Astyanax mexicanus: one gene and its partners. The protein of the gene in region 3 interacts with the protein of the main gene of each other region in a pairwise test. Links are inferred from orthologs where the notes say so. Each region holds a gene or a part of one and is shown on either strand. Other genes may lie near its edges.

Evidence for each region.
Region 1: the proteins of mal2 (region 3) and tpd52 interact in a two-hybrid assay, tested with the Homo sapiens proteins (2 studies listed by BioGRID and IntAct). The link is inferred for Astyanax mexicanus from reciprocal best matches to the Homo sapiens genes MAL2 and TPD52.
Region 2: the proteins of mal2 (region 3) and ptpn9a interact in binary tests that used the Homo sapiens proteins (3 or more experiments, as listed by UniProt). The two-hybrid records come from large-scale screens. The link is inferred for Astyanax mexicanus from reciprocal best matches to the Homo sapiens genes MAL2 and PTPN9.
Region 4: the proteins of mal2 (region 3) and pbx3b interact in a two-hybrid assay, tested with the Homo sapiens proteins (2 studies listed by BioGRID). The two-hybrid records come from large-scale screens. The link is inferred for Astyanax mexicanus from reciprocal best matches to the Homo sapiens genes MAL2 and PBX3.

The regions. Positions count from the first base shown.
Region 1 is NC_064410.1:44,215,893-44,224,445, reverse strand, and holds the start of tpd52 (tumor protein D52), read left to right. Parts: upstream 1-5,266; 5' UTR 5,267-5,308; coding exon 5,309-5,340; intron 5,341-5,784; coding exon 5,785-5,897; intron 5,898-8,553. Other genes in the region: zbtb10 (zinc finger and BTB domain-containing protein 10), read right to left, coding at 2,211-2,930.
Region 2 is NC_064409.1:42,591,248-42,598,709, reverse strand, and holds the start of ptpn9a (tyrosine-protein phosphatase non-receptor type 9), read left to right. Parts: upstream 1-4,025; 5' UTR 4,026-4,821; coding exon 4,822-4,854; intron 4,855-7,462. UniProt on the Homo sapiens protein: Protein-tyrosine phosphatase that could participate in the transfer of hydrophobic ligands or in functions of the Golgi apparatus.
Region 3 is NC_064413.1:15,461,339-15,469,250, forward strand, and holds the start of mal2 (protein MAL2), read left to right. Parts: upstream 1-4,564; 5' UTR 4,565-4,707; coding exon 4,708-4,929; intron 4,930-5,346; coding exon 5,347-5,517; intron 5,518-7,912. UniProt on the Homo sapiens protein: Member of the machinery of polarized transport. Required for the indirect transcytotic route at the step of the egress of the transcytosing cargo from perinuclear endosomes in order for it to travel to the apical surface via a raft-dependent pathway.
Region 4 is NC_064419.1:16,525,202-16,533,673, forward strand, and holds the start of pbx3b (pre-B-cell leukemia transcription factor 3b), read left to right. Parts: upstream 1-5,123; 5' UTR 5,124-5,235; exon of another isoform or gene 5,236-5,905; 5' UTR 5,906-6,423; coding exon 6,424-6,620; intron 6,621-7,445; coding exon 7,446-7,525; intron 7,526-8,472. UniProt on the Homo sapiens protein: Transcriptional activator that binds the sequence 5'-ATCAATCAA-3'.

The DNA of each region.
Region 1 (8,553 bases), on a different chromosome or scaffold from region 3:
TTCCTAACTGGCCCAATGACAATTACAATGCAAAAGTAAATATTAAAGCAACTGCGGGTAGCTGTAAGATATCATGATAGATGTTTAAAACAAACACTCCTGCAGAGAAAAGGGAGTTGTGCCAGGGCTGATACTAATCTAAAACAGCGTCTTAACCCTTCTGTTGCTAGGGAGGAGCCCATAATCCCTCCTACTGCTTTCCTCCCTAATTAGTGAAGGGTATAAATTGAGTTAGAGGAACGCTTTAAGTCATCCTGATTAGTATGAACAACTGGCTGCACTCGCAAGGCTATCCTCAGGGATTTTATTAACAAACGAATCAAATTCAGTACGGACGGCCATATATTCAGAGATTCGAGTCGCATGTAGAATTTAAACACATTCCGATCCACCATTCAGAAAGCATGGACAACAGTTTGTCAAGCATTTATTGACAATTTCCTGCTACAGGGCTGAAGGCTCTTCTGAATAATGTGAATAATGGGGTCCAAACGAGGACATAGATTAAAGATTCATTATAAAGCGCTAGGCCTCACCACAGCTCCAAACATACTATCTGAAAATGATCACAGGCACACTATTGATCTCACTTCAATACTGGGTTGAGGAGGGGGGGCACGAGGTCATAGGGTCACATGCTAAATTTATTTATACTTGCCCTCATAGTGATCGGCCAGGTGCATGTCGCACAACGGGCATAGCAGTCACAGGACACTACTCGATTTAGGGGGATTTTGTGTGGACAAGCCGGGTGACGAATCAGCCCTGGATCTTTGAGATGGACCTAAAACAATGCCTTTGATTTAGGAGCCCTAAAGGGGAAGATGAGATGTGCCAGAGGTCACTTTTACAGCCAGGGAACAGAGGGGGGGTTGGGCTGGGCTGGGGCTCCCCAAAGCCTGCTGGTCGAGCTTCTGCCATCACCACGACCTCCCTGGTAATCAACTCAGGTTGCCAAGGCAACTAAGGTTGATAATTGCAGTGCAATGCATGCATGGAGTAAACTGGTCCAATACAAAGGAGGGGAAGTGCACACACCCTTAGCTCTAAACCCAGATTAAAGGGGTTACGCTCAAATGTGACACATAATTCAGTCGGGTGTCCTTTATAAAAAGACAGTTTTTTTTACAGGTTATCTTTAAACAAACCAAGACTATAAAGGATATGTTTATATTTAAGAACTATTCCATTATTTAAGCTGTCATAAGGTTAATATCAAAATGTACAAGACAGAGTGAAAAGTTAATTATAATTACACCTAGGGCTTTACAATATGGATGAAACTAATGTCACATTGACTCATTTTGGTTGATGCAATATCATCCTGATAACAATATGAAAAACTGCTAAGAAAGCCCACAAAAATGAATCTGTCTGTTCTTGTAATATACACTGTAACGTTAATGAATGTCACTCATTGAAATATGCTGTAAATAACGTAGTGAACACTGGAATATTAAAAATGTTTTTTTAATCATACAACCGTTACTTAAACATTTTATATCGTGATATATGAGGATACTGAATTATTGTCCAGCCCTAGTTACACTAACTTACAGTTTAAAACGTAAAGTAGCTAACTAGATATATAGTTAGGTAACTAGACATATAACCTAGCCAGGTTACACGGCTATCAAATATTTTCTAATATTATCGTAACGTTAGACACTAACCTAGCTAACCTACCTTTAAGATAGTTTATTAAAGAGTTTAGCTCACTCTCTGTAACCGTTTAATCCTCACACAGTTTTTAAAGAAGTCAGTAGCCAAATTCCCAGTAACGTATATGTGAACAGCGCTGAAAAGAGACGATTTGAAGACTGTATTCAACTGTCACTGATAAAAATCACAAAGCCAGCTAGCTGGTTTCTCAGGACTGGGAGTGAGCCAGGAAGCAAGCTAGCTAGCGGTTAGCTCGTGTGGTACAAACCCTAGGCTAGGTCAGCTAGCTAGCAACGTTACAATCAGCAGCGGTAGGCTAGTTAGCTTAGCATCTACCTAGCTGGCTAACCTTGCTAGCTAATGGTCTATAGCAGCTCATACTGGTCGAGGAAGACGACAATATTAAAAAGGTTGACCAAATATCCAATATAGCCAAATGTATTAAAGTTTTAATCATATTTTTACAGTATCCTGAGAACGTCCTGGGACCCTGCTAACGTTGACAAGCCCAAACTCAAAAGCTCCGTCCGTGTCGGGAGTAACTTTACCTGTTTGGTCGGGTCGTTCCTGCCGTGCTCCGAGGACAGGTGATGTCTCAGCAGCAAGGCCCGCTTGTAGTTTCGGCTGCCTTTCACCAGCTCGTCGCTGTTGTTAGTGGCAATGTTGTGACACCAAGAGCAAGACATGAGTCCCGACTCTCGATTAAATTTTAGCCAAGGAAACTCCTGCAGCCAGGAGGCTTGGAAAAGCGAGTGTTTCTGGAGCAGCGTCTGCGGTCTCATCTCTACCCAGGGCTTCCTGGCGCCCGCTTCTTCCCGGTCCCCGCCGCTCCCTGCTTCGCCTCGGTCTCGGTCGTCCTCGGAGCCGGTGGCAGCGCCGCTGCCCGCGCCGTCCTCGCTGTTAACGCCGTTGCCTGTCGTCCAGCTCTCGCCCTCCTCCCCCGCGACGTTCGCGTTAGCCGTCCAGCCGATGCTGTCAACGCCTTTACCGACTGTCCATCGACCCCCTTCCGGATCTTCCTCCTCCTCTGCCTCCGGCTCTGTGCTGTCGCTGACGGACCCCCCGCCCTCCACTTTCCCCGGCGACGGTCCTTTCGCTCCCAGATCCCTGTCCTCCTCCTGATCCGGCCTGTTCCCGTTTAAATGCCGATCTTGCCAGGCCTGGGCCTCCCAGCTGTTACCGTTGCTGCCTCGGACACCACTGGAGCCGGTCACGGCTGATCCACCTCCTCGGAAAGCCAGCGACCTGCGGTTTCGTTCTCCGGACATTTTTCCTCAATAAATTAGAACCTACTTTCCCAACGATCTTTATCAATATAATTTACTTTCAGCCCGGCGAAACACGATTACAAATAATCGTTGTTTAAAATGAAATATTCCGCATCGAAATGTTGTGTTTTTTCGCGCTTTGGCCTCCCGGGGAGAGTATGTAGGTTATGCGGAAATAAATAAGGGTTTTAAAGGCATAATGAATTTGAGGGTTTCTGGCTCCGTCCGCGCAGGCCCCGCAGAGGTCGAATGGCAACGACTTTCCCCACAATGCACCTCGCTTCGAGTGAGGGGGGTCGTGGGGCACTTAAAGGAGGATGGGTGGGGGGGTAACTAGAACAGCGAGGGGGGCATTTGTGTTCGCCGAGCGCACCCACAGCTCCCTCCCCGAGCACGCGTTTCATCTTTGGGAGTCGCTTGTCTTGAACTAATAAGTGTGTTGTCCGCCGGGGAGCGGCGTTACTGACTCACTGCGCCGTGTTTGTTTTTAACACAGAGGGAAGAAAAGCAAAGGACAGGTGAGGGGAGAAGCGAGCAGAGCGCAGGGCTTAGTGCACTGTGTTTATTCTTACAGGTAGTGACAGAGGGGACTTTTTGCTCCCTCCCCCTCCCCAAATAAATAAAAAAATAGTATATACTATATAAAAGTGACTTTTGAAAAAAGTGAATTATGAAAAAAGAACAATGCAACACGTACGCACAGCCTATGGATATGGATAAACAGGGGTATATATGTTTTAAAATACACGTCTTAATTAAATTTAAATGTAAAAAATATATAAAAAAATAAATAATTTGAAGTTATTTTGTCATAATACGTTTTATAGGCTGTTGTGGCAATTTGTATTTTACCTAGTCGTGTATGTAGAAATAAAAGTACGTATCTGTATAAATGAATAATTCCTGAATTAATTGTAAGCGCTAATAAATGTTTTTTGTGGAATTGAAACCGTCAGTTTAGTACTTGTTTAGTATGTCACCCAGCAGGTGTCGGGCTTTCCTCTATACAGCATCAGCTCGGTCACAGCTGCGGTTATTACAGAGCCACCGTGCCCACTGTAGGAGGGTACACACACTGATATATAGTTCCTAGTAAATCGAGTTTTTATTTAAATATCTAAAAACCATATATCCAACAAGTATGCTCTCTTAAACACTGTAACACATTATATATTAATATTAAAAACTGCACAGATTTTTGTTAAAACAGTATAAAAAGAGCAACGACATGCCATATTAATTTAAATTAATGGAATAAATGTATGCACACAATCACTCATTTATTGTTTTCTTCATTAATCAACTCATCCCCAACACTTCAAATCATCAAAAATGAGTGGAACAATGTGAAGTGCCAACTTAAAGTGTCTGGATGCACTTATTAGATTTTTTTTCAAACATTTGGAAATATTGCATATTTTATAACATATACAAATTGGTCTTTGCACGGGCCAAAATTAGAGTAAAAAAGGCAATGCCTGATCACCCAAGTTATGTAGTGATAATCAGAAATAGGCAACCTTCTTCTGTTGTTTAAATACACATTTGTGTTTATTATTTAGAATAACTATTTCTCTTGTCCCTCCTTGAACAATTTTAACACTTAAAATAATATTATTTTGAATCTTTTAAATGTGAGTGCAGCCACCCCCCTGGTCAGAGTTGTAAATTACTAATTAAGACAGGTTTGTACACTTGGCTTGTCACTCTATTACTGTACTTGTAAGCAGATGTTTAAGTGTCAGGTTGATGAAAGAACATGTAAGAGAGCTTGAATGATTGGGGCATTTCAGTGTTTTGCCTAAAGCCCCAAAAGTGACTATATCCACCCAGATCGACAGACAGATAGATTAGAAGACTCCTGAGGTCTGATGAAAGCAGCTTCCTCGACGATACGACGAACATAATTTTTCGAGCCTGAAGGTGAAAATAAAGAGTTTAAGCCTTTGTAACAAGATTATTTTCGTGCCGTAGCGCCACCTATCGACTCAAGTGCACTAAAATATATATGTGGGCTCACCACACCCTTTAAGAACACAGAGTTTAGACAGCTCTCTTTCGTTCTCTCGCTGTTTATCTCTGTTGCCCACTCTTGTCCTCTAACCGTTTTTGGGGTGTGGCAGCGGGAATTACCATTAATTTACCATTAAATACCAGAAACTTTTTAAAACCTTTTCTGAAAACGTGCAAATTAAAATGCAGATTAGTTAAACACTGCTGATAGCCCAAGTGACTTCTGCGTGCCTAAAAACAGTGCAATCAAGAAAATTTGAGATTCTACCTCCTGTCATTTTTTGCATCGTGTTTTCTCACAGAGCCCCCTGTGCACTCTTTAGAAGATTTTTTTCCCTCGGAATCAAGGGGTTGGATTTCATGATATGGAGTTTCAAAATGTGACGATAGATTTCCTGTAAGTTCGTGTGGCAAAAGTTCACGTTCATTAAAAACATTAATTGTTGCAATGCAAGCAGACAATAAACGTTTACTAATTATTATTATTATTATTATTATTATTATTATTATTATTATTATTGTTGTTGTTGTTAACCAAATTATTAATGTTTCTCATTTACTAGTTTGTTTTCCTTATTCAAAAAATGTCCATTGAACCGAAATTAATATTGCATTGTTCTCTATAGAGTAATGATCATTATAACCTGTAAATGTATGTGTGCATATTATTATTATTATTATTATTATTATTATTATTATTATTATTATTATTATTATTATTATTATTATTATTATTATTATTTGCACGCCGCACTGAGGTGTGTGTGACCACGTGCCCGTTTCTTTTTGTTTACATGCGTGCGTGCTCTGCGTGATGACGCCACGCGCGGCCCCACCTCAGCAGTTTGCAGCGCGTGAAGCTCCAAACTCCTCGCCTGGAGAAGAGAATCAGCGAAGAGGAGAAACCGGCTCCAACAGCAGCGCTTCACAGCAGCATGGAGGAATCAGAGCAGGGTAAGTTACAGAAAGTTGACTTGTGAAGATATTAATGCGCAGTTTATCCCGGGAGACACTGTTAAAACAGCTGTTATCTCCTGTTTCTGTCTGTCTGAAGTTAGCTGAGGTGGGCTAGCTAGGTCAGGTCGTAGCCATAACTGGCTAATGGACCCCTGTTGCTAAGTTTTCTGCTGGAGACTATAAAGAAAACATTATAGAAAGTGCATTTCTTCAGGACCTGTGAAATGTTCCTAGAAATGTGCCATGTTTTGTTAAAGTACGGAGCAATAACAAAGAAGGAAGTTTCAAAACTCTTTTTGTCTGTTTGACAAGATTTTTTAGATACTTCAGAGCAAATAACGCTTATCTTTTGCTGGATAGAGTTAGCATCACAGCTTAAAATACTTATTTTTTAAAAGATATGAAACGAATTGTTCACTTTTTGTTTAATAGTTTAATCATGTTTAATCAATTCACTGCAGCCTGCAACCATATGTTACGTCCGTTCTATTATTTCATAAGGGTCCTTTGGTAGCTAGCTTAGTTATTTTCTTTTATGAATTGACAAATTTGGCATATCATTCACGAAGTAATTAGTTTAACTAATGTCTGTTTTTTTAGCTTCATAACTGTTGTGCCTTATTTAGAAACGGTGCATTTAACTGGAACTACCACTGCAGATGTTCTAACATACATACAGTATGTGATCATAAAACTGTCATATGGTGTGTGTGTGTGTGTGTTTGTGTGTGTTTGTGTTTGTGTGTGTTTGTGTTTGTGTGTGTGTGTGTGTGTGTGTGTGTGTGTGTGTAACTGATGCTGTCTGAATTTTGTGTTAATCACTGAAGTATCTGAAAATCCAGTTTTGCAATAACAGGAGCTCAGACTGAGATTATCTCAAGGGATGGTTTGAATTGCCTCTTATGGGGTTTTCTTGTGTTAAAAGTCTCAGATTACATTACAGGCACCGATTCTGTTGCCACTAAGTGGTACAAATGTAACTTGGTTTGGGTTTGTGTAATCTGTATTTAATGATTAATATTTCTGATTTATTTCATAATTGATAATGTAAGGCAGTCATGGGCTGTCTAGAAGAGTAAGGACTTTTAGTAAGCCATTTAGATTAAAGATAATTTGCTTTTATTTTTGCATTTCCTGGGACCTTTCTCTCCTGCTGCTACTTTTATTATAAAATTGATCACATTCATTGCTGAATAATTGAATTTATGTCTGGTAAATGAAGTGCTGTGGCCTTCTGCTTTTGTGCCCTTTTGTTTATCCCTTTGAATACAGATTGTGTTTCCTGTTGAAAGTTGCATATTTCTGATGCTCTCTTATAGACAGAAATTCTGTTTCATATGATTGCAGTATCTCTGAATTTGTGGTTACAATATCCTTAACTGGGTGTCAGATTTAGGGAGAGCAATATAAAATAACAATAATAAGTATTTATACCACAAAAGATATTAATACTTAAATAACTCAGATTAACTGTCTGTTTAATTTAATAGTGTAATTAGTGTGGGAGGACATATTGATATTTTATGGGGGGGGGGGGGGGGTTGTAACAAAATTACAACCCTTAACCAACAGGCCCCACCTGAGGCCTACATGTAAGCCTAGCAGTGCATTTAGTCTGTTCACTAACTCAATATGTAGAACACAATCCAACTGTAGCCTGTATTGTTTTGAGGAACAGGTGGATGTTTCCTGTCTTGTTTGTTAGGCTGGATGATAAATGATCTTTCCTGGTGTGCTGATAATGCTGTCCTAAAGTGTTGCTTATGATAAATTATGAAATATGAAACTGTTTTATGGAGATAATTGTATTTTCAGCAGTTAGAATCATTACGTCACAGCAAGCATCATACTTGGTTCTCTTTTCACCTTTTTTCTGTCCCACTCTACTCTTCGCTCCTCAGGAGGCAGCTTATCATCATTCCTGTTAGGTGGCGGAGGTCCGGTGAGCAGCCAAAGCCCTCCTGTGAGGCTCTCATGCAGGGAAGCCATCTGTCCATTCCTTGTCTTTTTGCATACTCACATCTCCCTGCAGCTTCTGCCACAGGACCACAGAGTTATTTTTAGAGCAGACTGCAGGATGGAGGCTGAGACACCTATTAGTTGTCTGCTGTATAGGAGGTATTTAGGTATACATGTCACCATTGAGACATTTGCTCTAAAGGGAAGCTTGTGTTCATGGCTTGAACTGTTTGTAGAAAATAGCATATCCTATTATTGACTGTTATATCTATATCCTGCTGGTAATGCACAATATTTTTTGTCATAATGTTAAATATATAGAATATCTTTATATTTACTGTAAACTGTGCACTCAGGGTGCACAAGTTCATTAATGCAAGCACATTGCTGATATAGATGTGCAAATGATTCATGCACACAGCTTGTCTAGTCCCTGTAGGGAAATACTGCCATTACAATAGTACTCCTTGGAACATGTAAGCCCAAACAGATATGGCACCTTGTTTTGGGCTTGAGGGGTATAAAGCTCACCAGCATTGACCTGAGGAGCAGTGGATTGGTGTTTAATACCCCCTTATTAATAAACCATGAATAAGCATGTGTCCCGTTACTTTTGTCCATGTACTGTAGATACAGGACTGTTATATGGAATTGTCTGGGGCCAGAATGGGACAGTTGTTAATGCCAGTAATAT
Region 2 (7,462 bases), on a different chromosome or scaffold from region 3:
TTTCCTTCCATATTCCCAAAACACATGGTAGTTGAGTTGGCTATGCTAAAATACCCCTGAGGTGTGAGTAAGTAAATGTGTGTGTGGTACCCTGCAATGAACTGGAGTAGACCTACCCACTCGATAGGGTACATTCCTGCCTTGACCTCAGTGATTGCCAGTAGGTACTGACTAGACTGGACCACCAAATAGCAACATGTTTTTGAACTGCGGTCATTCGACACCTCAACACAGTTGGGGGAGAACACTAATACCCCATTTACATGTGGCTCCTTCATGTGACTAGTATCCAAATAGATTCTGATAGGATTTGATTCACATGTATTTCCATTTGGTAGTCAAATGCATCTTCAGTCAGGCCGACTGAAATCTGATTGCTGCCGGTTATGGAATATGCAAATCTATTCATTGCACAGCGATTACAGTATAACTGGTGTTTCTGTTGTACTTGGAGAAATTTGGGTTGATGAATGTGTCTCAGAAATAGAGATGTGTTTAAACTGTTATAACGTGGCCCATATCTGGAGCCTATGACTTTTTTATGTTACTATTACAATGTATATTATTATTTTTGTATCCCACCATTGATAAACTGTTTGGCCAGTTTGGAAAGTATTTACATCAGAACTAAATCGGTTTATGCTGCCTTAAAAACATTTATGTGTCTGATGTCAGGTGGTGGTTCTAGGTAGCACCTTAATGAGGTTAAATGAGTATTCAGTGTGTTTACACCTTTTGTGTTTTTAGTCATTTAAAAATGTTCTCCATTGTAGATTAACATTAAAGTCCTCCAAACTATGAAGAAAATACATGGACTTATTTAGTAAACAAGTGTTAAACAAACCAGAATGTTATTTATATTTCAGATGATTTAACATAGGCACCTCTTGCTTCGATGACAGTTTTGCACATCTTGTTAATTACTTGAATTTCTTGTCCTCTTAATGTGTTTGAGAGTTGTGTTGTGAAGAGGTAGAGTTGGTATACAGTAAATAGCCCTGTGTGGGTAATGTTAAGAAATTAAGGATAATCACAAAGACCATTCATCAGGACTCTCATCAAAAAGACCAGGCATACCTGTCAAGTTTTAGATTTAAAAATAAGGGATATTTTCCTCTGTCCGCTTAAAGCCGTCCCACCAGCCCAACGAAGGTTCAGTATCCCTTACATGTTAAAACAGGTTTACAAAAAATCTAAAATAACCACATGTGAAACACTTACACTACAATTAGATTATCAGAATCTGAACATGTTGTGGACATTCCTACATATGTCATTCTTTTAATACAGCCAAATTAAAAACCCTTTTCTATATATTTTTTTTATTTAAGATTTCATGTCTTTTTTGTAATAAATGCACTCTTTTATATGATATATTTTTTATTTATTTAATGGATTTAAAATTGAACAAAGAGTGCACAAATTCTGCAAAATGACTGTTGGTGACCTAAAAATGGTATTATGAGCTTTTACTAAAAGGACATGGACCAGATATATTCCATCAGTAAAAATTAGTCCTAAGGGGCCTACGCAATAATTTTTAATTAATACTTCTTCCTTTTGATCACTCCACCCCTGATCAGTTCAGTTAATGTCGGTCCTCTCCACATTTCTAGTTAAACTGAGTCACAAGCTGTAATTTTTTTTATTTTAAAAGGTTTAATCTGTGTGTTTTATTTCGGAGTATTTTTAAGCAGCTATCAGAAAAATCTCATCACAGTTTCCATGATTAGACTACCGTTACCTTTCTTTTAGAAAAAAGCTGCCTGAACTCACAGCGAGGAGGGCGGGGCTTCCCCACACTGACCCTCCTTGCAAGCTGATTGGCTGTTTTTCCTGAAAGGCGGGACTTTTTCCTTGAACCGGCTCCACGATTGGTTAAGAGACACAGAGCGGTCAGTGCCCTGTATCCTCAATAATATATATTTTTTTATTTTAATAAAATACGGGAAATTTACGGGAAAATACTAATACGGGAGGACAGCGGGAAAGAGGAGTAAAATACGGTAGTTTCCCGGCCAAAACGGGAGACTTGACAGGTATGAAGACCAGGTGGATAAGTTCATTAGAGGTACCACAAATTAAACAGCACGTGTGATTAGAGTATTTTGGTTTGTTTAACCCTTTTAAGTTACTACATGATTCCTTATGTGCTCCTTCATAGTCTGGTTGACTTCAGTGTTCATTTACAATATAGGGGGGGAAAATGTAATACATTGAATGAGAAGGTGTCCAAACTTTTGAGTGGTACTGTTTGAGTGGTACCCTAACCCTAACCCTAACCCTAACCAAACATTTCTCTCCATTGTACTATTTGTGATTTCCATACATTAATGGGTTTTAAGAAATAGGGCTTGACAACAAACTAAACAAATTGAGAAAGATGGGAGAATGAAAGAACACTAATTACTTAGAGTACTGTTTTTGGCAAGACTTTAAAATAAAGGTACATCAATTAAAAGTACTTACAACAAGAATAAACATTGTTAAGTGGCTTAGTAATGTCTCGACTAATTATTAATAGACAGTAGTTAAGACATTATTAAATATTATAAAATGTTAATTCTGTAATGTTGTAAATAATAATAAATAAAGAAGTTCAAGTGTTAAATGATTAATAATGTCTTTATTAGTGTCAATTAAAAAATAATACTGTTTATTAATGTACAGTTATTGTAGAGGGGTACTCTTTAGAGGGGTGTCTTTTAAGTCTGTCCTTCTGAAGGAGTTTTATGTGTGGATTTTTCAGGATGTTGTCAGTGTGAAAACAAAGCAGTAAGGAGGAGCTCTGTGGTGGGCGGTGCTGGATCTGCCAATCATGTTGGTCTAAAGCATACAGACCCGCCCACACAGAGAGTCATCTCACTGTAACTTACCTTTTTATTGAACTGGGTGTTCTTTTTCTCACTTTGCTAATTTAAGACGAGTTAAATCTAGTTTTACATTAAAACATTATCTTACATTCTGCGCCCTATTGCTTTTTTGCACTCAGACTTTGGACAGAGAGAGAGAGAGTGTGTGTGTGTGTGTGTGTTTACAGCTGCAGTCTCTCTCAGTATGGCGGAGTGGTATTTTTATGAATGGAGCAGATAGAAAGAGAGAGAGAGAGGGAGAGCAGGAGGGAGGAAGAGGAGGAGGATTGAGCCAGGCTGCAGTGTCTGCGTGTGTCCGGCAGGGGGGAGTTTGAAGCTGGAGCTTTTTTTCTGAGCTCCATTTCCCAACTAAAGATAAAAGCCTGAAAACCGCAAATATGTATTGCTGCAGACTGGAGCACCTCCAAAGAGGAGGGGCTTGCCTCCAAATGGGAGGTCCACAGCTCCAAAGGGGAGGGGCTTACCTCCAAGTGGGAAGTCCACCGGCTCGAGACTGTGAGCGCGTTTGTGCGCGAGACCTCTCTCACCTTCCGTGATTATTATTATTACTATTATTCTATTACAAAGAATTTAATGTTATATAAATTGTACTATCACATTATATTATATTATATCATATTATTATATTAAAGTCTACATCGCAAGGCAGGGAGACCTCACCCAACACAGCTTCATTTTCTGCCGAATGCCACAAAAAAAGTCCTCCGTGATTAAAAGGCTCATGGATGTCAATAAATATTTTAGTCAACAATTAATGATTATTTATATTTCTTAAATGTCAAATAATATACGTGTAGTGTGTATGTATTTATAATATTATTGGCTATGAATAAACAACTGCCTTTATTATTTAGATCTTTACTATTTTATAATTTGACAAATTCACAGCATGGCAAATGTTTAAACGTTTTTAAATAAATAAAATGTGGTTGCAATGTGCACAACATGCTTTTAGACTCTTAGAAAATGCATTTTAAAAGAAAATAAACATTTAATAAACGAAATAGATTAATTAATTAACTTTTGGGGTTATTTACAAGCACAAAACGTCGTGAAAAACACCATACCGCCTAACACCAAGCACCATCCTACTTGGAGGTAGGCTCCACCTGTTTGGAGGTATGTTCCTCTCCTTTGGAGGTGCTCCAGGCTGCAGCTATACCCTTCTCGAAAACCGACGCGGGGCGTCCAGATGTGTTAGTAACTTTTATCCGCCTCAGAGTCGGAGGGACGCGGCCTGGCCTCGCCTGTAGCTCGCCGTGCTTCTGGTCGACTGTATCTGACCGCTGGGGAACAGGGGGAGATGAAGCCGAGCGCTCGGTCGGGCTAACACAACATTAGCTAGGCTAGCTGGAGATTTTTAGAGGTTCGCCAGCAAACGGTAACCTGGGTTGCTTATAGATAGTTAACTAGCTAGCTAATCCAGCGTTAGCTATAGCTGAGTAGCGTCGGGATGCTGGTGTGATTGGTTACCGCTTGGTTACCGTTTTTGTGCCGTTATGGCACGGAAGGTCGAGACTAACGTTAAGTTGCTGCTGCGCATCTGAATTCCAGCAGAATTTCGCTCTAACGCTAACTAGCTGTTAAGTAGCTCGTTACGACAGAATGCCAGGTCTCTTGCTCTTATAATGGCACCTATAAGCTAGCTAACTAAGTGCTATTTGTCTAGGTTAATTACCCAGCGTAACGTAGTGTATTTTTTCTTCTGTTTACCTCAAATCGGCTGTATGTCTCGCCAAACCCGATGGCTGAGTAGCTGCTGCCCTCAGTAACCAGGTCTAGTTCAGTCCAGCAGGTCTGAGTGAGATCTGGAGCTGCTGCTGCTGTCGCGGTTTAATTTCTCCTAATATCTACAGTCAGTCGTTTCCCTCTCGGACTTACTGACGGACCACTCAGGAGGAGAAAAAGAGAGAAGGTGCCTTAAATACTTAAATACCACAGAGGAAGAATGGCCGCCACTTTAACAGCAGAGGAAGAGCAGGTAAGTGGAAATAAAAATAGCGAGAGGCAGAAACACATTAACTGCTACAGCTGTCATTTTCTAAGGTCACAGAATATTTAACTAGCTAGCTAGCCTAGTTAACCTAACTAGTTAGCTGTCCAAGGTTATTTAATGTTAAACACAGGTCTAAGCGATAGAAACTAGTACAAATATAAACCCTCTGTGGCATGAATTTTTATTTAATCTAAAGGAACAAATGAAACACTGCTTAATAAGAAGTCTGACTGCATAATGTGTCCTGATGCAAAAAATAAAAAACACTTTAATCTAAACAAATAAATGAACAAATGTTAATACCTCAAAACATTTTACATGTTGATGCATTTAAACATATTTTATCATTTTATCTTAGATTAATTTAAATTTAAACATGTTAAAGCATTATATTCATCTTCTCAACTACTAGCATTGCGTCCCAAAACCAAACCCACCTCTAGAGAGAATGTCCAAATTGTTCCCCCGCATTTTATTTATGTAGTTAGGCTTGTCTTGTGATATATTAAAAGAAAGAACATTAAAATTAAAGAGTTTGTGTAATCACAAAAAACTGAGGGCAACACCAAGCCATAGAGGGTTAACATAAGCACAATATTTAAAGATATGTTCTCAGTACAAAATATTTATTACAGTACATTCTGACATGCAGGTATAATAAGCTAACTTGTTAACCTACACAGGAGTGGCGGATATTATGGAGTGGCTGAATAATACCTGGTCTTCCTACAGCTGACTAATACAGTAATTTATATTCAAAATGTGCTTGATGTTATCAAGTTAAACAGAATTAATGACACACTTTGTACTGAAATGTGCTCTTAGTGTTAATCTTAGTGTTGAAATCTATGTTCTCCTATCCATTGAGCTCAGAAAAGTTAAGTTGAATGTGTTCATAGACACTCAACAGCATGCTCCTAGTAAGGCAATGTGAATCACCAGGAATAAGGTCATGTCCATGTATTATATGATAAATCAACATATTTTTCATATTTATTGTGACACACTTTCACACATGTACTTCTACACATCTGACAGTAGTGAAACCACTCACCTAGCTATTTGAGGTTTTAAGACAGCTCAGACCTCACCCTGTGTGAGTTAAGAGAGAATGTGCTGCGTTTGTTTGTGTGTGTGTGTTTGGTGCATGAGAGGTCGGTGAACACCAGGAATCAGGGCTAGATTTCACAATATTTCCACGAAAAGAAAAGAAAGTTTCAGTTTTCACTGTCGGACTAAAATCTTCCAGCCTGAAGGACACGTCCCTGCGTTTAGGCTGGAGGTTCAGTTTGTTGGGTTAAGAGATGTAGTTCTATTTTAAACAATTTTGAGTCTGAAGGTTTATATATAAGATTTCAGGGGAACCTGTGGTTCTGTGACCCTCAGTGTGTGTCTCCCTGAATAAGAAGGAGCAAAAATACAAGATTAAAGTGAAAATAAGTGAGAGTCATGCCTCTGTGCTATTAGTCCCACCAGTAAACGGTCAGTGTTTCCATAAAAAAAGAGGGCCTCAAACAGGAAATGGCCATTATATAATCCTCGCCTGTTATTTACAGTGCGTTATAAAGGAGAAAAACACCACCACATGCAATAGAGCTGCCAAAAATGCTCAATGCTTCTATAGTACTTTGGGTTGAGCTCTAGGTCAATAAAAATGTGGTAAATGAGCCTGTCTTTGCACTTTCCGCTTACTGGCGACTTGTTCAGGAACCTGTTCTGAAGGCTTAAAGAAGGATCAGTGGTCCTGTACCTGAACAAAGCTCTTCTGTCATTTTCTTTCCTGCTTTTGCAGCTCATTTGAATGAGGCCCAGCCTTATCGACCATCTCTTAGACTCCCTCAGCTCACCTCACTGGGAGAGAAACAAAGCTGCGCTGTTATCTTTCGTCCCTACAGTGTCTGTCTGCCAGCCAGTTAGTTTGTGAATGAAGCTCTCTCTTCACTCCAGGGACCTGCATCCACTTTGCCATCTCAGGAGAGGTGCAAGGCAGTGGGCCTTATCTGGGATGTTGCTTTTCTGTGTGTGTGTGTGTGTGTGTTTGGGAGTAATTACATCTCAGGCTGGACATGTCCGGAGCTCAGTGGGCCCGGAGGGACTGGCAGCCCAGCAGCTCGGTCGTTCTCTGAGGCAGCTGCTAAAAGCATTTCCACTGAATGAGGGCTCTGCTCTGCTGCAGGACTCTCACGGGGGTGGGAAGTGGTGGGGCGGGGGTATCTCCCAGGAAGCATCAGGGCGGGGGTTGGGTGGGTGAGTGTGAGAAAGCAAGTGACAGAGGAGTGAAAGACAGAGGCAGGCATGGATGGAGCTGATGACGCACGGCTCTTCCTGTTCAGCATCGACTGATGCCAAAATAGACAGGAGTGACAACCTGAATGTGGCACAGGGGCTGTCTGTCTCTGTTTTTGCACTTAATGACATGGACCTGCACGGGGTTGGCTTCTAAACATTTTATAATCACCAGTAGGTCATGCCACAGCTCCACAAACATTACATGAATGGCACTGATTATTTCTAATAAGCTCTACCCATTGTTTGCCATGTTATCGTGTCCTTTTTACGGTTGTAATGCATATGTGGGTGGAAGGATCCAGAG
Region 3 (7,912 bases):
TAATTTCTTTTTGGATAATTTGCAACCAACGCAGCGTGCCATAATGCGCTACAGTGTGATGAGAGACGACAGTATGGACATTTAATTGGCACATTAACCTGCGAACACACACCCTTTTCACTCTTCTCTCTCTGCATATGATTATGGACATGTGGCACACACATTAGAGTAAAGCCAAAAATAATATTTTTTAAATGATTTAAGTTTGAAAAACATTATTAGACAGCTTTGACTCACTGAAGAAGGCTGCAGCTCTGCCTGGGCATTAATTAGTGTTTTTTATACAGCAGTTTTTGAGGGATGTGACTTTGCTTGCTGTACTGGTAGTAATTACACAGTGCAAAGATACTGCAGGTTAAAAATAATTTAAAAAATCATCTTAAACAAGCAGACTTATGGTCATAAAATATGCCTAGAAGCAGATAAAGGATCTGGAAAGTCTGCTACATACAGTGATTTCTTTTTATTGTACTTCTGCTTGAATTTAAAATTATTTCAAATATATATATTTGTCTTTAATATCTCAAATAAAAATGAAAAGACCAACATAAATGGATGTGAAGTCGTATCTGTCTTAGTTTCTAGGGGCTGAATGGTGTGTATATAGGTAGGAGAAATAGGCTTGGGCAAATATGTAACTAGTTATTAGATGCAGGAATTTTTCCTGTATTAATTTACTAGTAACAGAATGGCAACAGACTGTGCAATTCCTTAAGGTTTCTTAGGTCTGGTAAAATAAAATTAATATATTAAATCCACATTAATATATAGAATATGTCTACATTATATTACTATACTGTAGTGTCACCAGGGGTGGAATAACGAGGCCAAACGATAGTCCTATTTTTTTAGTATGATAGTTCTTTTTAAACAGCGATTCATCAGTGAAGACCCTTTTTCTCTCTCTAACCAAACATCAGAGTTGCTAACGTGTGCTTACAGCATGCTTACGCGGTGACTCTGGTCCGCTCGCGGGGGTCGCTAACCCAGTGTTAGCATAGCAGCATGCTAAGACACTGACTCTAGTCCGCTCATGGGGGATGCTAACTAACGTGGTGTTTCCATAACAGCATGCTAACGTGGTTACTTTGGTCCGCTCATGGGGGTTGTTAACACTACTTTCTACTTCCTGCTACTACTAGCTACTTCCAAGAAATGGCTGTAAGCCAACACAGTTCATTGTAGCCACGTGTTTCTAAAAAAAAAAAAATCAAAATACAAAGATTCCTCACAACTCTTACCCATGCAGTTTTTTTTTATGAGACGGTATAGCTAGCCACCAGTTTAAAGGGGTATTATATCGGCGGTTTAATACTTGCCTATTTCCAAGAAATGGGTGTAAACTGTTTTATAAACATAATATATGAAATACAGTTGCCTCACGATTAAAATAAACAGTGACTGTGCTCGTTCCGTGTAATCCTTCTGTAGGACTTTGCATGATATTTTCTTCAGTATCTTGTAAAATGTGGGATCTTACAATATTTTTTTAGGTGTGCTTAGTCATGTCATGTTGACTTTACTTACAAATTTCTAAACAAAATAAACACAAATTTCGGGCTTTACTTGCTGTTTTAATTAAGCAAAGGGGAAAATCCTATAATTTTAAGTCTTTTCATTATAATGAGCAAAGATTTCTGGGCTTAAGTCTTGTTAACTTTACTTAAATGTATAAACAATAACTTAACCCATTATTAGGGATTTGGGGTTGGGTTATATGCCCAATAACTTCAACAAAGAAGAAAGAGGGCAACTACTAAATGTGCTGGGAGCTCCTTGAAAGCTCCTAAATCCTCACAACTCCAATGCCAACACTGCCACAATATTAGTACAGTAATATGGTTCTCTCTAAATGAAGAATAATAATTTATGTTCATTAGGTTAGCATTAGCAGTTTCCCACAGCTTTTGCATATTAACTGATTCTGTAGGTTTATTGATTTAAGAACATGACATTTTGCACAATTTTCTGTCATACCATCTATAATGAGGCTACATTATAGAAGGATAAGAGTGGAAAGTAAATGATTAACTGATTTATTCATTTACTATTTCACTCATAGGTTCCTTCATTTATATTACATTATGTGTCACAGTCTAAATGTCTGTCTTGATAAGATCAGGGCTGATAAAACTCTGATAGAGGACTTCATATCAATCAACAAAAGCAGTGTATTTATTCACATTCACTGTTTGCCCTTTAAAGATTAATACCTCTTTCTTTGATATGCACACTCACACATACTTCAAAAGTATTTTAAAACATTCCACTCAGATGAGAGTAAAGTACATGTTCCAGATATTAATTTAAGGGTATTTACATGCATCACAATTTTACCATGTTGAAATTAAAAATAAAATGTTGTAGCCCAAATTTAGGGCAATACAGCTCTGGGGGAAAACTTAGAGACAACGTCAGTTTCTGAATCAGTTTCTCTGATTTTGTTGTTTTATTCTATAAACTACAGACAACATTTCAAAATAAAAAATATTCTCATTAAGAGCATTAATTTGCAGAAAATGAGAAATGGCTGAAATAATAAAAAAATGCAGAGCTTTCAAACTTCAAATAATGTAAAGAAAACAAGTTTTTATTCATAAAGTTTAAGAGTTCAGAAATCAATATTTCGTGGAATAACCCTGAGTTTTAATCACAGTTTTCATGCATCTTGGCATGTTCTCCTGCACCAGTCTTACACGCTGCTTTTGGATAATTTTATGTCACTCCTGGTGCAAACATTCAAGCAGTTCATCTTGGTTTGATGGCTGTGATCATCCATCTTCCTCTTGATTATATTCCAGAGGTTTTCAATTTGGTAAAATGAAACAAACTCATCATTTTTAAGTGGTCTCTTATTTTTTTCTATAGCTGTATAATGTTAGGAAATCTGCAGTAATATATACATGAGAGCAGTCATGTTAAGTAAGTTTTTGACAATCTTTTCACTGACTGACGGAGGTCTGCAGTTTACAGAGATTTTCATCAAGCCTACAATGCAGCCATCTTTTACTCTTGCTTGTTTCTGGTCCTTTTTTCCTCAGTTGTCTGCTCAGTAAATGGAAAACATAATCAATTTAATTTAAATCAGGTTTAAACTGGTTAAAACAGCTTTAATTTTTATTTTGAGGAACTCCTTTAATGTCTTAGCAGTAGATGCGTCAAGTAACGAGGTACAAATACTTTGTTATCTTACTTAAGTAGAAATGGTTATCTATACATTTCCAACTCCGCTTTGGTTTATACTGTGATCCATCACACCTTAATGTCACGTCTTACTCCAGCAAGAACATAGCAGAGGTATGTAGCCTAGTATGAAGATGATCCGTGCAGAGACTCAAGAGAACTTAAGCAAAATGTCTCAACTAGGCTTCTTTAGTATAATTGAATATTTGAATAAAATGAATTCATTTTCAATGAGCCTAGTACATCCCTGCATTAACATTTTAATATAACATTTTAGAAAAAATAGGCTCCTGAGGTACAGCCTAAGCTTATGTTCTTAATGCCATTTTCCCCTTACTTTACTTTTACTTTTATACTTTAAGTAAATTTGAAACCTGTACTTTTACACTTTTACTTTAATTTCTGCAGAAGTATTTTAACCCCTGTTATATACACTTCTATCTGAGAAATGAATGTGAAGACTCTTAACAAAGTTGCTCTTCAGTATGTTTGGGATGATTATTTAGCTGCAGGATTAAGCACCGCCCAGTAAATTTGGAGACTTTTGTTAGAAATTGAGTCAAGTGTCAGTGCGCTACTGCCATCAGTGAAGATAAGTGCACCAGCATCTGTGGCAGCCGTGCAAAGCTTCAGTATGTCTTGACACCCACACCTTCATGGTTCACAGATAAGGTGGTATACCTTACAGCTGATTGGCAGCTCCACTTCCAACACATCAACTTTGAGAACTGACTGTTCACTTCCTGCCTAATAAATTCCAGCTCTTGACAGGTGCAATTATGATGGGATAATCAATGTTATTCACTGATTCACTCGTGTGGTTTTGTGTGTGTGTGTGTGCTGTTTAAAGGGTCACTGACACATGGGTAGGTGTATCTAGGCAATCAATAATTACCCTACACTGCAACTGGCAAATTTCCAAATTTCCGTAACCTAGATTAAAACAGAGCAACACAGTATCTGCCTTTTCTGTTCTAGACATTTTAAACATAAGCCACAGATCACTAAATCTCTAACAAGCCAAAAGCACTGGTGTAAAATTCCTTCATGAGCCAATAAGCAGCGCACTTACAATATCAGCAAACATCTATAGAAGCCTCTATGTACATAACCTTGGCTTAGCAGGCCAAACTTTTAATTTGATTTATGAAACAACCTTCATCATCACACTAACAGAGACTTATATATAAATATATATATATATATATATATATATATATATATATATATATAACCTCCATCCACTCTTTATCTCCTTGGAATGCCATAACCTAATATTTACCCAGGAGCAGTGTCCCCAAAGCTTTTTGGTTAATTATTAACTCGTGGTGACATTGCCAGGCTGCTGGTTAAACAACAGAAGAAAAAAAAAAAAAAGACAGAAAGAAAAGAGAGGAGATCAAATAAAACAACGATTTTTTTTATGGACTGAAGATGTGAAAGGCTAAGCAAGAAAGTGACAGGGAGGCACTGCAGATAGCTGCTCTGAGATGGCGGTTTGTCCTCAGCGGTCTTCAGCCATGAATGGGAGTGGCTGCACACCTGTCGGACCGGTTCGCGACACATGACTCCCAGGGACTTACACACTTCAACACACTCGTTCTCTGGAAAGCCTTTGAGCCTCTGAGAGAGATGGCTGAAGCCACGAACCCGGCCGCTACCTCTTTCCCAACGCCCACTATATCCTTACCGCTCGGGCTGGACGTTTTGAGAACGTACTCGGGGGCTCTGATATGCTTGGAGATCGTAAGTGTGTGTTAAATTTTAAATCTTGTGTAATGTTTGCATGTTTTTGATCAGTGTAAAATAGTCATGCTGAAGAAATGCCTGAATAGAAAAGAGCAGAATTGCTGAGCAATACTTAATAAAGTATATAAATGTTGCTTGTGGCACTACTATGGATTATTAAGAATGATTGATTAAGAATGGCTTTAGAGTAGCAAACACAACCTAAACCATTAATGCACCTAATTCATAATCAAATAGACTCAGATTGAGCAGTGATTTCATGCTGTGCAACTCTTTACTAAGTCATTTCAGGTTGAAGTGTGTATTTCAGGACACATCTCAACTTTTACACAGTGATTTCTTCTGATGGATGAATAGGCCTCTGATCAGATTACTAATAGAACATTTTGTACCTCTCCTGTTCCCTCCTGCTAGGTTTTCGGCGGGTTAGTATGGATCTTAGTGGCATCGTCCAATGTCCCCGTGCCTCTTCTGCAGGGCTGGGTGATGTTTGTGTCCGTAACCATGTTTGTGTGCTCCTCCGTGTACCTCGCCCTGTTTCTGCTGGGCTTTGCTGATAAAATCAACGCAGACTGGAATTTCATGGTGAGTATCTTTAACTCCTTCCTACATGGAGTGTTCATTTCCCTACTATACTGTTGGACACTGCTGGACTCCAGCTTACCTGACACAGAGAGGTGTCAGGTAACAAAATACAAATACTTTGTTACCTTACTTAAGTAGAAATGTTGATTATCTATACTTTACTGGAATAGTTATGTTTTTACTTCTTACATGTTTACACAATAATCTGAATTTTCTTCTCCTTACTTTTTAAATATAGCCTTGTTACTCTATTTAATTTCAGCTTGTTTTAATTCTGGCTTCTCATTGATAAAAAAAAAAAACCTTATCCAGATAAATCTCTTTATATTTAAAGACAGATACAGTGAATTTTATTGTGATTGGATGAGAAGAATAAACATATACCATTCCAACACTATTGGTTTATACACGATCCAGCACACCTACACACGTCACACCGTCACACTCCAGTAAGAACATAGCAGACGTATGTAGCTTAGTATGAAGATGATCCATGCCGAGACTCAAGAGAACTCGAGACAAATGTCCCAACTAAGCTTCTTCAATATATTTACATTGTACTAAAATACATTTATTTTCAGTGGGCAAATATGCAGATGAAAAAGTGAGCCTAGTGCATCCTAAAAATGTTAATATAACATTATACTCATTATGGATTTTAGATAAATGCTTCTGAAGGGGTGGGTAGTGCAAAAAATGCCCCTAAGGCATGGCCTAATCTTTCTGTTCTGTTAATCTGTTCTTAATGCCATTTTTTTAATTCTATTTTAAAACTCTAGTATCTATACTTCTACCAGAGTAATGAATGTGAATACTTTTCATACCTTTTGCAGGAAACATTATAAGGAAGTTTAGCAATGTTTTGAAAAGGTTCCAGAAAGGTTAGCCTGTAATGTCACAGAAATAATGTTCCAGGAACATTCTGAAAACATGAGACATGATAATGGTTTGCATTACAACATTTTTAGAACTTTCTTTATAACATTCCCAGTTAGATAAATATTAACATTATGGAAACTTTAAAAGTAACATTCTCAAAACTAACAAATTAAAACACTGACACAAGTGACAGTGCAGCAATGTTAATTAAAATGATGTTCTAATGATGTTAATTGTAACATTTAGAAAACATTCTACCAACCAATCATTGATATTTGGAATTCAATATTTAATATATGTACACAATAAACCATTACTACTATAGTACTATAGGCTTTCTAAGAAAGGAACTTCTAAATAGAGTATCACAGAAACACACCAGTCCAATAACATTGTGACGAATACCCATGATGGCACAGTTACTTGGAACTCATTCAAAACTGAGCAAACAAAAACTGATTCCCATTCAGTTAGCATGCTGTTGGCTGGGTTCCTTAAATCTGACAAAGAGCTCCGTCTGCAGTGAAACTAGAGTGGAAGTGGCCAAAAGGCGTGCCAGTCCTCAGTCCTGGCCCGGGTTCCAGCCCTGCTGCTGAGTAATGTCTGCTTTATGAGCATGATTAATGGTCACAGCTTAACAGTCCTGCACATATCTGTGTGTAACATGTCCTTCACATTATACTCATATTCCTTAATAATTAATTGCTGCAGAGATAAAGCACAGATTATTGCTGATATCCTGTTAATTAATTGCATTAATACAGAGTTGAGTTTTAATACACTGCCTGGCCACAAAAAAAGGTCACACTCTTTAATATTTCGTTGGACCGCCTTACGCTTTGATTGTGTCACACATTCACTATGGCATTGTTTCAATAAGCTTCTGCGATGTCACAAGATTTACTTCAATCCAGTGTTGCATTTTTTTTGCAATCATTTTTCACCAAAATCTTGCAGCATTGATAATGGTAGAGTCTGACTTCTGAACAAAGCCTTTTCCAGCACATCCCAAAGATTCTCAATAAAGTTTAGGTCTGGACTCTGTGGTGAACTCTCAATCCATGTGTGTAAATGATGATCTCATGCTCCCTGATTCACAATTCACAATTTCACAATTCCAGTCCCATGAATCCTGACATTTTGTCAGTATATTTTTATTGTTATCCTAAACGAAGGAGGAGATAAGAAAATGATGATGACAAGATCTGCCAGGAAACATGTACCAGGATCTCCCAATGAGCATTCGATTCCAGGTTATGTTCATATCAGAGAGAGAGAGAGCACTCTCAGTCAGAAACTTCACTCCTTCATTTCTCAACTGAAGGTACTGGAGTATACACCAGTGAGAGTTTTGTACAAGTGTACACTCTAAAAATATATATTATATCTATCTATATTTTTGGACTGGTTGTATGACGAAATATGTGTTAGTAAGTATTTCATGGGATTGTAAATGTGCCAATAATTTTACATTTTAGTTTTGAATATGGCAATATTTTTTTGGCCAGGCAGTATA
Region 4 (8,472 bases), on a different chromosome or scaffold from region 3:
ATTTATTTGCAGAAAATGAGAAATGGCTGAAATAACAAACAAAAAAAGATGCAGAGCTTTCAGACCTCAAATAATGCAAAGAAAATAAATTCATAAAGTTTTAAGAAATCAAAAAATATTTGGTGGAATAACCCTGATTTTTAATCACAGTTTTCATGCATCTTGGCATGTTCTCCTCCACCAGTCTTACACACTGCTTTTGGATGGCTTTATGCCTTTACTCCTGGTGAAATATTTAAGCAGTTCAGCTTGATTTGATGGCTTGTGATCATCCATCTTCCTCTTGATTATATTCTAGAAGTTTTCAGAGATTAAGAGATTTCATTTTTTTTAGATTTATGAAGACCAATAGCAGAGTGTTTTGATAATGAAAGCTTCCACTACTAAAGTAAATACTCATTACAAAAATGCTGACAGATTGTATTGTTCTTTCATACCACCTGGATTCAACATGCCTCAAACATCTACAATATTTATCTAAATCATATCTCTCTGGGATTTGGAGATGTAGAGCCCTCTCTGGTATGAATGTGTAATTGCAACAAAAAAAAAAAAAAAAAAGGAACAGTACTTTTAAAATGTGCATAGTGGTGCGGTCTCATAAAGAGCTCAGTCAAACGCTTAAAAAATAAGATTAGTCACATATTTTCTTTGTAAGACTGAATTGTTTAATAATGCATATTTAAATGTAAATAAAATAAAGGATGTAATATTGGTAACATTATATAACAATTGGTAACAATTATACTTACATAAGTCAATAATTTATTTTGTATTTTCAGGAGGGAGGGCTTTATCGTCATAGAGGAGCAGCTGAGTGTGTACAAGTGTGTCTGAGTGTGCGTGCAAGTGTGTGCTTTAGCTTTTTGTAACGTTACAAAGTTGTGCACAACAGCCAGAGTGCTTAATTTTTTTAAATCATCATTATGCTTTAATTTGGTCCTCTAGGTCAAATCTAACAAAATAAATGTGGTTTAAAAAATGTGGTAAAAAAATGCAAAATAAATTTCTCCTGAACATCACTGAATGCTCTTAAATACATTGTTTAAAATCTTTCAAAATTGTACTTTTTGTTACAGTCTTCCAACTATATAAAATTACATTTTATTCTCCTCAGTATTTACAACAGGGCTGTTGACTTCTGAGTTACTGGGGTACACTGGGATGCTCTCTTTAAGGGAGAACGCCCATAACTTCCCCCTACTTAAACACCACTCCTCGTCTTATTTTCATCATGTGAAAAAAAGAAGCCTGTTAAATGAATGAACACTGCAGTTGGAGATTTAAATGGGTCAGATTTTGCCAACAAGTATGTAAAATTTAGCTATGTTAATGAATTAATCTATTAAAAATATTTTCCAGTGCCTTAAATGTAATTAATGACCTGGAAAAACTTACAGGTAAAAGCTTAACATTTCGCTTTAAAAAAAAAAAATAAATAATATAGTGTATTTCTCTATGTTTGATTTTGGAATGTGTCAGGAAACCAGTGCACCAGGTTTTATTGTGATGTACCAGATACTTCCCATATTTTCAAGTCAGTAAATATATATTTTCTACAGTACTTACAGCCTTAAAAATAAGTAAAATTACATTTTCATATCCTCAGTATTTACAACATGACTGCTGAATAAGGCAGACTGTGAGGAATACACTGGGATGCTCTCTTTATTTTTATTATGTGAAAAAAAAAGCCTGGGAAGGGAATGAACACTGCAGTGGGAGACTTAAAGGAGTCAGATTTTGCCAAAACGTATGTAGAATTTAGCTATGTTAATGAAGAATTTAATCTATTAAACAGATTTTCCAGTGTCATAAAAGTAATAAATTACCTGAGAAACTTTACAGGGAAAGCTTGACATTTTGCTTTTGTAAAAAAAAAAAAAAGATCTGTAAAGGCTATGATTAAATTTAATATAGTGTATTTCTGTATGTTTTTTTTTCATGTGTACTTACAGTAGAATTTATATCAATCAGTTTCACTTGGCATGCGAACAGACATTATCGTCGTACTGATGTTATGCGGTACTCACAGTCTTCAAACTATATAAAATTACATTTTTATCTCCTCAGTATTTACAACATGGCTCCTGAATTAGGCAGACTGTGGGGAATACACTGGGATGCTCTCTTTAAGGGAGAACGCCCATAACTTCCCCCTACTTAAACACCACTCCTCGTCTTACCACTGAGCAAGCCACTCTATCAATAAATGCTAATCTCCTAATTAACAAGCTAATTAGGTAATTATGGCTTTGCAGAAGGATGCCTAAATGAAATATGACAACACAGTCACCGGTTTCTCAGACACCTGTGGGTCGTTTTTGGCTGTCATCGCAAAAAAAGAGCAATATCAATTTCAACAAATGACACACTTTCATGTACAGTGTGCAAAGGGCTGTGTGGGGGTGACAACCTGCTCACTCTTCAAAGACTTAATTGTTTTTGAAGAGACGAGCGTATTATGGTATAGGAGGAGTGGCTGTTTGTTTTGGAACTGCCAATTAAATCTGTCACAGGTTGAAGATTTTATCACTAATTGTAACACATTTACATGGAGAGGAAATGCATGATAATTAATCATGAATTTATTATGCATGGGTCTATCTATCTATCTATCTATCTATCTATCTATCTATCTATCTATCTATCTATCTATCTATCTATCTATCTATCTATCTATATAAATAGTATTCATATAGGCTACTATGGATGTGTTTAATGCTTAAAGTAAACTAACAACTAATTAAACCACATTTAAAAGCGACAAAAGAGAACATTTAATATTCTTCAGTTTGCAACAACAATCAGGTTTAACCTGAATTTTTTTAAAACATTGAAAAAAAATTCAGCATGCACCTTTCTTAATATCTCATTCAGAGTTATGGGATATCCGTACTTCATAATATCAAGCAGGCCCTCGTCATCATGTAAATATAATATTATGAAACAAAAAAAAAAAATCAAGCTTTATTTTCTTATTCGCAGAGATTTGCTGTCATGGTCTTGGAAATGAATTATGTTGACACATGGCTGGAAACAATAGTGAAAAGGCATGCAATGTAATGCAATGAAGAATCATGTGCTGCACCAGAGGAGAGGATGTGGAGCTGTTCCTTTGAGCCCTGTCTGACAGCTATGCAGTGCGACTTGACAGCTCAGTATTGCAATGATAAATGCAGTAGGTCTGGGACTCCCATTCACTAAACTCAGGAGTGTGTTGGGTTGATACTTCAAGGTCAAGTGAATAAGAACGAACAGAACCACACAGCTTGCTAAAGAGAGAGAGAGAGAGAGAGAGAGAGAGAGAGAGAGAGAGATGGTCTTGTTTGCGTTCATGCTTCTACATAATTCACTTCATCGTATTGTGGGTCATACAACATTTAATATTTAATAAAAAACAGGTTCATGCTTTCTTGATTCTACCTAAGATTTGCATAATTTTAGGACAATTTTAGATAGCTGTAATTCCCAGTGAATTAATAACTGGTTATGCTCGTTTTACATGTTTATTTAAAACATCAATAATTTATTTTTTATCTTAAATATTTACTGAAACACTGTAAGTAGTACATACACAACTCTAGCAAACTGTAGCAAACACATAGGTAATATAAATAATTCCTCACAATTTGAACATGTACATGTGGTGGCTATTGCAGCAGTGTTAACAAAAGCCATCTACTGCACTGTATATAAATTTTTCAGATTGAACACACAGCATATGTAAAATAAAAATAGCTGTTAAAATGGGAAGGGCGTTGTTGTTTAAATTTAATAATAATAATAATAATAATAATAATAATAATAATAATAATAATAATAATAATAATAATAATTTAACATTTTAATTACAGTGGCCAGACTCACCTGCTCTCTCACTCTTTGCAGATAACACAAAATGAAACATCAGACTTTTTCTTTTTCTATCCTCAATATCTTTCACAGTGCATACAGAGCGCTTTTGAGTGTAGTGGTGATAAAGTAATGAATACAAAACATGGCCTCTCAAGCTTCAGGCTTTCTTATATTTTCATTCGAGAGCCTTTTTTTGTTTATTTTATTCTCCTATGGTTTATCCCAGAGGAAGATTTGATTTTCCGCATATCTGATTCTTTGCTCTTTAATTACCCAGTGTTAATTCCCCTTGTTGAGTGTGTGTGTGATGAAGGCAGGCCTACAGGGCCTCGGAGTCGTAGCATGTGCCCAGAATCCCAGTTCTGAAGCACAGTTCTTTTTTTTTTGTTGTTTTTTTTTTTTTTTTAGGAATTTGCAGCATGGTGCTCTCACATGCTGCTGCATTAGGAGAGGTGTCTGATTGGCTTTCTAACTCCACCCAAATTAACAGTCTGCATGCCTCAGTCTTGGTAATTAGTCCCATCACAGCAGAGTCTGTCATGTCACAAGTGCAAGACTTGCTTTTTATTTGATATTTGTATGAACATTAAGACTGTTAAATAATGACTGAAATAATTGACTTAAATAAAATGACATAAAAAGTTTAATACAGTATGTGCAAGTGAGTTTGTTGCATTTTCTCATTACCTATACTTAAAAATTAATTGATCTGATTTTAGACGAAAAATACATTAACAGAATAAATATAAAAAGGTTTGTGTAATAGGAAACATCATGCACCTCATATTACAAATCTATATGGTGAATCCATACTATGGTTCTGTTCTGTTTGGTTCAATGTCTGAAGACAGTTCTTCTGGCAAAAAATCAGGAGCAACAACAGCAACAGGCCAAAACGTAGGACCCGTGTATTTGAAGACAGCAGGAAAAGTCACCGGGTGTTCTCGCAGGAAACCCAGCACAGCCCCATCGCACGCGCGCCAGCAGCAAGCGCGGAAACGTCACTGTATCTCCTCGTAGTCTGCTACCATAGCAACTGCAGAGGAGCACTGCGCAGCGCCGCCTGCTTGGGCAGTAGGTGTCACCCGTGGCAACGACCAATCAGAAGTTGCTGTTTCGCTGCACGGTCCTGAGCTCGGTGGGCGGGCGCTCGCTCGCAGCGGAGCGCTCCGATTGGACACTGTGCCGCTCACTCAAAGATAAGCGACGCCGCGATTGGCTCAAAGCGTTTTAGCTCCAATAGTATAAACATGTCCTCCACTCGGCTACCCTGCTAGGCAGGCTTGGTAGAGGCGGCCATACCGTGATACGGTGTGGAGAAACGAGGAGGCAGAGCAATCCATTATCAGTTTAGAATCAGGCAACATAAAACTTCGGGTATGTCTTTCGCGCGTTTTACTGCAAAATTCGTCTAGAATGTGACGCATCCGCTCTAAATGAGGCACGCGCAAAGTAGGACTTGAAGCTTTCTTTTTTCGGTGTTCTCCTTTCGTCATTATCATCACTAGTATCATTAGTAGCGCGCTGGCATTTTGTTTTCCAGGCTCTGGCGAGAAGTGACAATCCAGACCCCTCCTCTGCAGGGCGGAGCGTGCATTTTGATGTCGATTTTTATAGCGTTTTTTTCTGCTCAGCTTCAGCTCTGACACGTCCTCACTGAGTGAGTGGCATTGGCACATTGTCAATCGCTCACTACCGCTGCCATCAAACAACATAAAGCACACACAGCCCAAACGCGCGCCTCATAAATTTGAGCACGCTGATATTTTTGCGCATCGCTTCATGGCGTGTAATTAATTTTTTTCTTCCCCTACTCATCTTAAGAAAAACTTTTTCTACGTTTTATATTTTTTACTGTCACGTTTAGGCTAAAAGTGTTGCTTCTAGTGTCGGTTAATTTAGTTATTTTATTGCTCGTTCACATTTTCGGAAATTATTTGGAAAAGCAGTTATTTTGTGTTTTCTTTCTTCTTTCAAATATTGATCATCCATTCAGTTTGCTCTGCTGTTTTTACTCGGATATTTTTTGTTTGTTTGTTTCTGTCAGATTTCAGTGCGGATTCAAGCAAGTTTTGAAGAAGTGCGAACGGAGAAATTACATAAAGAAGAGACAAAATCAAGCCACCTGCAAGGAGCAACAACAGTTCAGTTTTTTTTATATTATTTTATTATTTTTATTATTTTTTTATTTTTTGCGAAGAGAAGAGAAAGTCAGTTTGGTTTGGAATGAAGACTCGGACAATATTCAACGGACGACTGCTGTCCTCTCACTGCTGAGCAAGTCAACATCTCTACGAGAGGCTGAGATTTCGCTAACGGACATTTCTACACGGATTTTTGTGAGAAAGTGAACAGCAGCAGTCCTCCCTCGCTGGTGGTGGTCGCGGTGCGTGCTGTTCACCTTGTTGCCACGAGCCCGCTTTACATCCAACGCTTCGGAGAGGAGACCAGCCCCGCAGATGCTCCTCGTGTAGTCACGCAGCCTTTTTGCATGCGCTCATTCCGCGTATCTCCAGCTTCCTCTGAGACTGAGTAAGAAGCGCATTGATCGGGTTGCGGCGGACTATGGACGAGCAGGCGCGGATCATGCAGACTCTCGGCGGGGTGAATTTGGCTGCGCACGCGGTGCAGGGAGGCATGGCACTGCCGCCTCCACATGGACACGACGGGACTGATGGAGACGGCAGGAAACAAGACATCGGTGACATTCTGCATCAGATCATGACCATAACCGACCAAAGTCTGGACGAGGCGCAAGCAAAGTTGGTGCATTTCTTTAAATTAATGAGCGTTTGAGTGATTTAAGTGTAGATCAAATCTAGTTTGGCTGTTTATAATACATAGAGCTTACACCGGCTTTACGTTATAGCTATTAGTTAGTAAACGTAGTAATGTGGGGAAGTTTTTTTAATCCCTGTAATGTTTTTTTTTAAATAGAACTCCAAACATCCAGGAAGAATTGTTCTTAGCTAACTTAAGTCTCTTAGCTAAGTCACCTGTCTCTATATGTGTAAAACATCCAGCAAAAAAATACAAATACACAAAGTACCCTGCCCTAAAGAATGTAATCTCTAAGACTAAGTGTTGTAATTTAAAAAATGCTTTAAACAGTAGAACAAGCAAAGGCATCCAAGAATGCACCATACACATTCTGTAGCTATTCTCTAAAACACTTGTGGGCATTTCATTAAAAGTTTCACAGACATCCCCCCTGTCCGGTAGCTGGACCATAGAGGCAGGCCTCACCGCTTGTAGCTCTGTCCTGTCCTGCCACTCTTATCATTTATTGCTGAGTGTGATAAATAAATAAGATCCAGTGACTAATATTAATTAGATAAAAATAATAATAATAACAATCTGAAATTGTGCAATAATAATAATATTAATAGTAACAAAGGCAACAAAGAGGCATTTAATAATAAAAGTGACAGTTACAGTGCATTTACTAGGCTATTTTGGTTTCAAATAGTAAACACATTAAGTACATTCAGTTTAGCACACAGTCAAGTGGGCTCACAATAAGTGAAGAAAATCGTTTAAAATAATTGAAGTGACTATATACCAATTTTGTGTCTTGTTCCAAACTGAAACAGGAAACACGGACTGAACTGCCACCGAATGAAGCCTGCCCTTTTCAGCGTGCTCTGCGAGATCAAAGAGAAAACAGGTAAGAGTGTAAATTCCGTACAAAAAGCTTCTCTTACACCGACATGCCTCAATTAATAAAAAAAGGAACCCTCGTGCCACTAAAAAACATCTCACCCCGCCATCTTTCCTATAGTTGTCTTGTTTTCCCTCGGCGTGGCTTTCTCTGCTCACCTCTGCGGCTCGGTCCCAAACCGCTGAGCGCAAAGCGCGCAGAACAGCGCCAGCCTGCAGCTGCCGGGAGCGCGAGCCCCGTCTCCAGCTGCCTCGTGCTTTTCGGTTGAGGCGCGCGCAGCCCTTTAGCCGTTTGTTTACTTTGCTTCAGACGCGCATTGTCCGGCCTGAGCCGCGCAGAGAGAGAGAGAGAGATTAAATATTGTTCACATTAAATAAGGCGCCAGACGGTTCCGCGTGCGCGTGTGTATTGTAGTATATACATATAGTTGTATATATATTTTTTCTCCAATGGCTGTTTGCTTAATTCTAATTACCCACATTTACATTGCGCCTGTGGAAATATGGTAATGAGGGCAGCGCGGTTCGTGTGGTTGTTAGTCTCATTATGTGGCCAATTTATTGGAAAATTATTGGCACTATTGGACATGCAGCTAAGTATTGACTCAGACACTCAGTGTTAACCGCTTCCTTTAACACTAAAGATCATTAAATCTGAGCCAACAGGAGTTTATAATGTATTTCTAAAAAAAAAAAATGTCATTTCTACTAGAATTTGAATTTTACATTAAACAGGAGTATTGTGAGAAACCTTTCCCACAGTCTACATAACTGACAGGCTACAAGTACTCACCTGACCAGTGTGAAAAAAAAATATATGTTTTGATAAATAAAAAATAGAAAAAGACAAAATATAACATTTTTGACAAAGCAGCGCTGGTGTTCTTAAGCAATAAGAATCCCACAAATAAATGTTTACATTCTCATTCACATCTCATGGTATTTCACCTGCTG